2 linked regions of the Sus scrofa genome follow. The protein of the gene in region 1 interacts with the protein of each later gene in a biochemical or structural test. Links are inferred from orthologs where the notes say so. Each region holds a gene or a part of one and is shown in the gene's direction. Other genes may lie near its edges.

What was found.
Region 2: of the proteins of tyrosine-protein kinase ZAP-70 (region 1) and LAT, one has a biochemical effect on the other in vitro, tested with the Homo sapiens proteins (2 studies listed by BioGRID). The link is inferred for Sus scrofa from reciprocal best matches to the Homo sapiens genes ZAP70 and LAT.

The regions. Positions count from the first base shown.
Region 1 is NC_010445.4:56,538,519-56,543,600, reverse strand, and holds the start of tyrosine-protein kinase ZAP-70, read left to right. Parts: upstream 1-1,794; 5' UTR 1,795-1,966; exon of another isoform or gene 1,967-2,123; intron 2,124-2,221; 5' UTR 2,222-2,304; intron 2,305-5,082. UniProt on the Homo sapiens protein: Tyrosine kinase that plays an essential role in regulation of the adaptive immune response. Regulates motility, adhesion and cytokine expression of mature T-cells, as well as thymocyte development.
Region 2 is NC_010445.4:18,641,638-18,645,304, forward strand, and holds the end of LAT (linker for activation of T-cells family member 1), read left to right. Parts: intron 1-838; coding exon 839-901; intron 902-1,113; coding exon 1,114-1,176; intron 1,177-1,276; coding exon 1,277-1,344; 3' UTR 1,345-1,351; intron 1,352-1,502; 3' UTR 1,503-2,716; downstream 2,717-3,667. UniProt on the Homo sapiens protein: Required for TCR (T-cell antigen receptor)- and pre-TCR-mediated signaling, both in mature T-cells and during their development.

The DNA.
Region 1 (5,082 bases):
TAACCCACTGCACCATAGCAGGAGCTCCTGGAGTCGGTTATTGAACCTCTGTGGGTTTCACTTACCTTATCTGGAAAATGGATTCAATGGGTTAAATTGCAAACTGCTTACAAGTTTGTGTGACCCATAGTAAGTGCTACGGTTATTATGGTAGATTATGTGGTTCTGAGGCTGTGATTTCTCCCCTCTTCAGTCTGCCAGGGCGTTCTTCTCTCATTTCCCAGGAAAGGAGTACCCAGTGTGGAAACAAAGACTTTTTCTGTACCCTGAATCTCACAATATCTGTGGGGAAAAGGAAGGCTTCTAACAAAAACAATTTTGGGGAAAATCTCTGCAGGAGAAAAGTATCCCAGCCTGGAGCTTAGAAAAAAGATTTCTTGGAGTTCCCATTGCTTAGCAGGTTGAGAACCTGATATAGTGTCTGTGAGGATGCGGGTTTGATCCCTGGCCTCACTTAGTGGGTTAAGGATCTGGCATTGCCGAGCACTGCAGGTTAGGTTGAGGATGAGGCTGGGATCTGGCGTTGCCGTGGGCTGTGGTGTAGGTCGCAGATGCAGCTCAGATCCTGTGTTGCTGTGGCTGTGGTGTACACTGGCAGCTGCAGCTCTGATTCGACCCCTAGCCTGGGAACTTCCATATGCCACAGCTGCAGCCCTAAAAAGGAAAGAAAAAAGATTCCCTGAGTAGGGAGAGGGGGCTTTAGGGAAGGGAGAGTAGTAGAGAGTGGGGAGAGGGTACCAGAAAAGGAGACGGGGGTAAAGTGCGGAGGAAACGTCAGGCTGGTTGGGGAGCTGGGCTTCCCTCAGGGTGGAGGCACCAGAGAAGAAAGCTTCTTGGGATCTTAACAGTGGGCCTAGGACAGCCCCTCGCGGGTCCCTGAGGCCCCATGGGTGGCCAGCCACTGAAGAGGACCCCGCATGTCCAAGGGGGCCAGGAAGTATGGTGAGAGGGTGTCCGAAGCACTGGGGTGGGATGGGGGGAGATGGAGCAGAATGAATGTGGGGACAGGCCTCAGCCCTGCAAGCCGCCAGCTCTGCAGGCTGCTGGGGGAGCATGAGGTGTGGTCACATGGTCAGAGGGTGAGTGAGTATGAGGAGGGATAAAGGATGAGGAAGAGGCAGTGAGCAGCCAGGGGCGGTGTGTGGGCCCAGCAGTGGTTGGTGGGCATTGGGGCCCACGCTATCTCCATGTCTTGATGACAAAACCAATCCTTCTCTGAATCCAGCCCTGATACCCCCTGGGCTGCACTGGGCCCCTCTGTGTACACTGTGTCCAGGCCTCCGCCATCCCAGCCCTGGTCTTCCTGGTGACTCAGCTGTCCCCTCGTCTGGCCTGTGTCCCATTCGAGAGCAGGGACAGGGCTGGCATTGTTGGCCTGATGTCTGGCACACAGGAGGTGCTTCGAACCTTTGCGGTGTAGACCAACTTGGGAGATTACTTCTCCCTCCAATTTTAATCTGCTGGTGGAATGAATCAGTCACTCATATGAGCAATTCATCCAGGGACAGGCCCTGGGTCCATGCCTCCATTGGAGGGGAAACTGGGGGCTTTCTAGTTTCCAGCGAGTCCTGGGGATCCCCCTCCCACTGCCACTACACCACCTCATTCGGCCTCACAGCTCCCTTCCCTTCTCCCCAAGTTAGGGGTGTGCTCTTGGAGCCATCATTCTTGCATAACCCCTGCCTGCAGCTAGCCTCGCCCACCGCTCCCCTCTGCCACCACTACCAGAGCAGACTCTGCTGGGCCCCGGAAATGCCCTCTGCCCTCCCCAGAGCACGTGGCCCGCGATTTTCCTTGAACACAGCACTTTGTGACTTTGACGTAAACTTCAAACACAGCCCGCTTTCCTGTCTCCACATCAAGGAAATAGGCTGAGTTTCAGAGAAACCTGTTGCCAGGAGTGCATCAGGCCTTCCGCACTGGGTCCCTGCCCAGCTCGGGCCTCCGTGCTCTGCTGCGTGTCCAGGTGGGTTGCTGTTCTCCCGTCTTCTGCCTCTGTTGGGCCAGCACGGCCACCGCAGGGCCTTCTGTGGCTGCCGGCAGTGGGTGAAGCCAATTCCGCTCCCCCTTCCACCCCGAGTGAGAAACCCTGGTGGGGCAGGGCCTCCTTACACCTTGCCGGGGTGAGTGAGTGGGTGATTAGCCGGCAGGGGCCTCAGGCTGGGGGCTCAGGCTGCAGAGCAACTCAAGTTGGTTTCTTGGGCCCTGATTCTTCATCTAGAACCAGTTGCTGTGGGCTTTGGAACTGAAGACCAGAGACCTTGCAGGTGGCCTGTGCCTTGACCTCCATTGGCACATCCCCAGGTAAGTCATCCTGGATGGAGCAGCACCTGGCTGGAACTGCTGTCTGCAGGGGTGGCCTGGGTCTGGTGGAGGAGGACAGAGTCAGGAGGACACTGGGGGTACCTGAAGGGCTACAGGACTCTGATGGGTGGTGTCCAGCTGGAGAAGGAAGTAGACACGGCTGGTGGCCATCCTAAGCAGATCTCCCTCCAGATGGTCAGCCAAGTGGTAGAAGATACCTCTATCCGGGGGCCACAGAGATGCCTGCTCAGTCCCTAGCCTCCTGTAGGGCCCCAGGAAGCAGAGAAACCTCCAGAGAAAACAACCATGTGCTCTGGCCCCCAGGTCCATGAAAATGAAGGTGGCTCAACAGAGCCATGAACTTGAACATCAAAATGCTGATGAGTCCCATGAGGGGACCCAGGGCAGGCTCCAGCTTTGTAGAGGAGCTCAGGTTAAAGGCGAAACAGAGAGGCAAAGGAGCAAACAGTTCTAATCCTGCTCAATTGCTGTGTGTCCTTGGCAAGTTGCTTGGCCTCTCGGAACCTCTGCACATCTGTTAAAGGCGGATGCAATTGTTGGCACCTACTAGGTGCTTGGCTCCTAACTGTTGGGTGAGAGGTTGGAAAGCTGTTCCAGGCAGGAAAGGGTCTTGGCAGGAAGGAACAGGGAAGCTCATGTGGTGAACGGCTCAAGATGAGCTTCATTACCCTTGTCTCAGGGTAGTGAGTACACAGTAGGTGCTTAATAAAACTTTGAGATTAGGGTCAGGGACTATGGGACGGAAAGTCCTTAGGTGTCACCTGTGAAGCTTTTCTCCTGCCAATGCAGGGCTGCTTTTTCCTGTTGTTGCTTGTTCTCCTGCCTCACCACACAGCCCTGGCAAGGATGCTGGGCAGGCAGACAGCCGGGATGGTGTTTCGGTGTATTCTCTGGAGCCAGGAGGCCTGGCTCTACCACCTCCTTTGTGTGCTATGTGACCTTGGGCAAGTCCCTCCTCCTCTGTGTCTTCATGTCCCAAATCCACAAATCCTCCACATACAGTGTTCTCTCGAGGATTAGGGAGTTAATCTATCTAGAGTGCCTGGCACACAGTAGGTGCTGTGTAAGCATATTGGTGTAGTCTCAAGTATGATCCCTAGCTCTGGGTGGTCTCATAGCCCCTGGAGACTCTCCCAAACCAGATCCTTAACCCACTGAGTGAGGCCAGGGATTGAAGTGAGGCCAGGGTTAAGGATGTGCTTGCTTTTTTTTGTTTTTGATTTTTAGGGCCACACCTGCGGTATATGGAGGTTCCCAGGCTAGGGGTCTAATCGGAGCTGTTGCTGCCGGCTTACACCACAGCCAGAGCAATGCAGGGTCCTAGCCATGTCTGTGACCTACACCACAGCTCATGGCAACACCGGATCCTTAACCCACCGAGTGAGGCCAGGGATTGAACCCGCAACCCCATGGTTCCTAGTCGGATTCATTTCCTCTGTGCCACGATGGGAACTCCAGGAAGTGCTTCTTAACTGGAGCCAATTTCACCTCCCCCATCCCCACTCACTGGGGACATTCAATAACATTTTTGGAGACATTTTTGGTTATGACTCGGGTGTTACTGGCGTCTAGTAAGATACAGGCCAGAGATGTTGCTAAACATCCTACAGTGTGCTGTCTGGCTCTGTCCTCCCCACTCATCCTGCCTTTTCCATCCTTTAAATCTTTCCCCATCACCCTTTGACAGTCACAGAGCCTGACACCAAGAGAGGGATGGCCCCTTGCTGGGTTTCCACAGCACTTAAGACCCTGGTAGCAGAAGTTGGAGTTGGGGAGGGGGGTTTGATCTTGTGACATCGTTCAGTCAGTCAACAGACAGTCTGCTTGAGGTTTGAGGACCTGCCTTTCACTCCGCAGCAGCTCAGCAGTCTGCCCTGACTGTCCCTGAAGGCAGATCCAAGTGTAGCAGCACCCAGGCCAGGCTGGGGTGGGAGCCCTTCTGGGGACCCAGCTCAGAGCTGTGGATTCTGCTCTCCTAATGGACACTCCCTACAGTGGTTAGTGCCAGCCACTGGGCAGACACATGGTTCACATCCTGACTGCCACTTGCACCACTGGGCTGACACATGGTTCACATCCTGACTGCCACTTGCAAGCGACATGATTCTGAACATGAAATTAAACTCTCTGAGCCTCAGTTTCTTTCGCTGAGGAATGGGGATTCCCATTTAATGGAGCGGCAGTGAGAACTAGATTAACTGGCTAATGCTCAGAAGAGGTGTAGGAGGAGCTTCCGCTGTGGCACAATGGGGTAGGGGCATCTTGGAAATTCTGGGACTCAGGTTGGATCCCTAGCCTGGCACAGTGGGTTAGGGATCTGGCGTTGCCATAGCTGCAGCTTAGGTCAAGACTGTGGCTTGGATCTGATCCCTAGTCCGGGAACTCCATGTGCTGTGGAGTGGCCAGAAGAGGAAAAAAAAAAAAAGAAAAAGAAGAGATATAGTAAAGTCTTTGGCAAGGAGATTATTGTTATTGTTGCTGTTTGACAAATATTTTTTGGGAGGAAGCAGGAGCTGCAGTGAAAACAAGACAGGTGTAGGTGCTTTGGGGAGCCCGGGCTGGTCAGAGACAGAGGAGAAAACAGCACTCAGACTTGGCCATCAGGGCTGTGATGCGGGAGGATGGGCCCCTGGAAGGACAGAGGAGGTGTTCAGATGTGGAGGGAGCAAGGGGAGTCATAAAACACTTTTGGGTGGAGGGGACAGCTGAAAGGACCTGAAGCATGTGGCCAGGAGAAGGGTGTGGGCTCTGTTCCAG
Region 2 (3,667 bases), about 38 Mb from region 1:
TTACTATTAAACCACACAATTCCCAGCTGCTTTGGAGCCTGGCCCTTCCCCGCCTGGCCCTCTTTTGCCCCATCGGTACAGTTATTTTTTTTTTTAACAGAAGCTTGGCAGCCCTTCCTGTACCACAGGCCCTGTTTTAATTCACTGCTTTAGTTTTCACGATGCCTCAGTGGGTACCATTCCTCACCCTATTTTACAGGTGAGAAAACTGAGGCCCAGAGAAGTGAGGTAGCTTGTCTGAGGTTACACAGTAAGTTAAAGCTGGAGCTGGACTTGAACCTGGGCAGTCTGGTTTGGAAGCCTGCCTTGTCTACATCCTCGTGGAGAAATAAGTCAGCACGAATAAAATGCCGACAATGGCGACAGGTGCTAGGAAGGGACAAGGACAGGAGCGGGTGTCTGGGCAGGCCTGGCTAAGGAGGAAGGGCAGCGGGGCTAATGGCGCCTTTAAGTGAGCCCAGCCCTGGGTATTGTTTTCTTCACACATGGCACCCAGCCCCATCACCCTGAGCTGCTCCCCAACCTGGAGGACATGCTAGGGGGTCACCTGGAGGTCTGCTGTCTCTTCTCCCACAATTCTATTCCCTCTAGTCGGTTTTGACCAAGGTATCCTACTTTCCTCCATCGCCACCAGCATCTCCGGTCCAAACTGCCCTCCCCCCACCCCTCTGGGACTGACTGTGGGGATGGTCTCTGGGGGCAGGGGGTATCTGTGTGTAGGAGTCTCATTGGTCTGGTCACGTGGAAAGTCTTTGATGGCTGTGGTTGGGAGTCTCGGGGTGTCTGTACTTGGGGGCTCTGGGTAACAGTGCCGGGGGCACTGGTGCTTTTGCTACAGTGGAGTCCGGGGAAGATTACGTGAACGTTCCTGAGAGTGAGGAGAGTGCAGATGCGTCTCTAAGTGAGTGGCTGAGCCCCCGGCGCCCTCCTGGGGTCTACCTTCCCTCCTCACCCTCATCCCCAGCACCCATCCCCACGCTCACCCCAGCCCTGGGATGCCCACAGCCCCCTGTGACTCCCTCACCCTCTGATCGGGTGTCCTCCTCTCTCACCCTCAATGGGGCCTGCCGCCCTTTGGGTATGGCCGTCCCTCCTTCTGACCTGTCCCCACAGATGGGAGCCGGGAGTATGTGAACGTGTCCCAGGAGCTACAGCCCGTGGCCAAGACCAAGCCTGGTGTGTGTTGGGGGGACGTGGGGCAGACACTGGGGGAGCTGCCTCTGCGGAGGTGGGGTGGGGATTGCCAGCTGGAGACCAACCTCCGCTTCCCTCACAGCCACCGTGCGTTCCCAGGAGGTGGAGGATGAAGAAGCTCCAGATTACGAGAATCTGCAGCTTAACTGAGGGCCTGGTGAGAGGCCCCGCCCAGCGCAGCCCTGCCCTGAACTTTCGGGCCCTCGACCTTCCCTGCCCTCCCGCCATCTCAGCCCTCTCCTCTCTGACCTCTACCAGCCTCCTGACCTCATCACCCCTCCCTCTCTCTCTGTCCTATTGTGTTTCAGTGTGCCTGTTCCGGAACCAGCCTTGCCCAGGAGTGCTGAGCCCAGCAGCTGGCAGTGGCTTTGTAGAGCCCCACCCTGCCCCGGCTCCAGCCTGACAACAGTCTGAGAATTTTTCCCCTAACTTATTGTCACTTCGGGGTCCAGTCCATGTGGCCCCAATACTCCGCACCTTCTGACGCAGCCTGAGAATGAAGTACCCTGGCCCCAGCCCTACTCTGTAATAGAATAAAGGCTGGTGTGGTCTGCAGTGATCTTGGCTTTGAGGGGGTGCCTAGTGGGTCAGAGTCGGAGCGAGGGTGGGCGGGGTCTGGGGGGGTCTGTGTGCGCATGCGGGAGTGTGTTCGCGCATGCGCAGGCGCCTGTGCGCATGCGTGCTTCTGGGTCTCCATCCTCACATGCTCCCGGGTCCCTGACTGGGTGTGTGTGTAATTGAACGAAGCGTGGGACACGTCACCTCTCGAATGAGGCAGTTCCAACCCCGGCTGGGCCTTCTGGGCTCTGACATGTCTCTCCACGAGTTAGTCCTCGGAAGGGAAGCACTGGGTGGGCGTCTAGAGGAGACCCTTCCCTGCTGGCCCCCAGTTTCTCCCTCTTTAAAACAAGCGGGTGGACTTGACAACCACAAACGGCTTTCTTAGGGCCTACATTTTGTGGTTCTTAATAAAACAGAACTTTAAAAATTGCCTCCGCAACTGAAAAAGTTAATGGACAGTGACGTCCTCTTCAGACTTGTGCAGGCGGCTCCCCTGGGGGTTTGGCTAAAATGCAAACTCTGCTTCAGTCGAGCTGGGATGGAGCCTGAGACTCTGTGTTTCAAAGGAGCGCCCGACTGGTTCTGCTGCTGCTCCGAGACGCCCGCCCCACCCCCCATCCCCAGTAGCAGGATCTGGAGGACATCCTGGTCGTTGTGACTGGTTCCGACGTGAGCAAGTGACCACCTGGCCAGAGTGAGGCCCAGCGCTGGACATGGGCAGCAAATGTCAGGAAGAAGCAGCTCTTTCTCTTCACGGCAGTCGTGCAGCTGGGGAATGTGGTCCTTGGGGCCCATGCCTGGAGTGCCTCCTGAGAATGATGGAGGAGAGACAGCCCGGAGGCGGGCAGGGCTGGCCGGCTTCCTGGTGGTGTCAGAACACCTGGATCCAGTCACACCTGAAGCAAGATAGCCCCTCAGACTTCAGTTACTCGGGCCAATAAATGACCAGTTTTCTTCCATCGCCTTGACTTGGGGTTTGTGTCGCATACAACCAGAGTAGTCCTGAGTGAGACGCAAAGTTGTTGGCATCCTCTGTGGGCACCAAAGGTAATAGAAACAGCTCCCTTGTGGAGTGCCTGCCGCATTTCCATGCTTCTGTAGTTGTTGTCACGCCCCTTGTTGTGGATTACTGTGCGTTTCCCGGTTTTGTAGGTGAGGAAACAGGCTCGGAGAGGAGAAGCGATTTGCCCAGAGGCACACAGCCAAAGTGGCAAATCTGGGCTGAGATCTGTGCCTCTTGGCCTCCGGGATTATTGCCACCAGCGCCCTTGCTCTAAGTGGGGAGGTTGTGAGAGGCCCTTTGGAGAAGTGGGGGAGGGATGTCTGGGGAGGGGCAGAGACAAACTAGACATCAATAAGGGATGTTAAGGAGTTCCCTGGTGGTGCATTGGGTTAAGGAGCCAGTGTGGTCACTGCTGTGGCTTGGGGTCGCAGCTGTGGTATGAGTTTGATCCTTGGCCCGGGAACTTCGACATGTTGCTGGTGTGGCCAAAAAAAAAAAAAAAAAAAAAAAAAAAAAAAAAACCGTGCTGTTAAAATATTTTATTCGGAGGAAATAAAAAAGGGCAGAGGCACTTTTATGCCTGGGCCAGACGGTTTACCAACAAAGTTATGTTGGTACAACCACTCGGAGGATAATCTGGCAACATCAGCAAAGCTGAAGATGGTGTGTCCCCTTGCCTAGCAAATTCCTGGGTATAAATCTGGACAAACCAGCAGATGGACTAAGGCTAAAAAGGTGGATCCAAGGGGCTCGGAGCAGATTATAATTGCTGACAACTGAGAACAGCAGACCCTGTCACTCAGGAGAGCGGTTACTGCAGGCCAGAGGCGAAGGATGCCTGGGAACGAGTTCAGGGACCCTCGATGGTACGTGTCATGTTTGATACTTAAATGCAGGTATTTGATACAT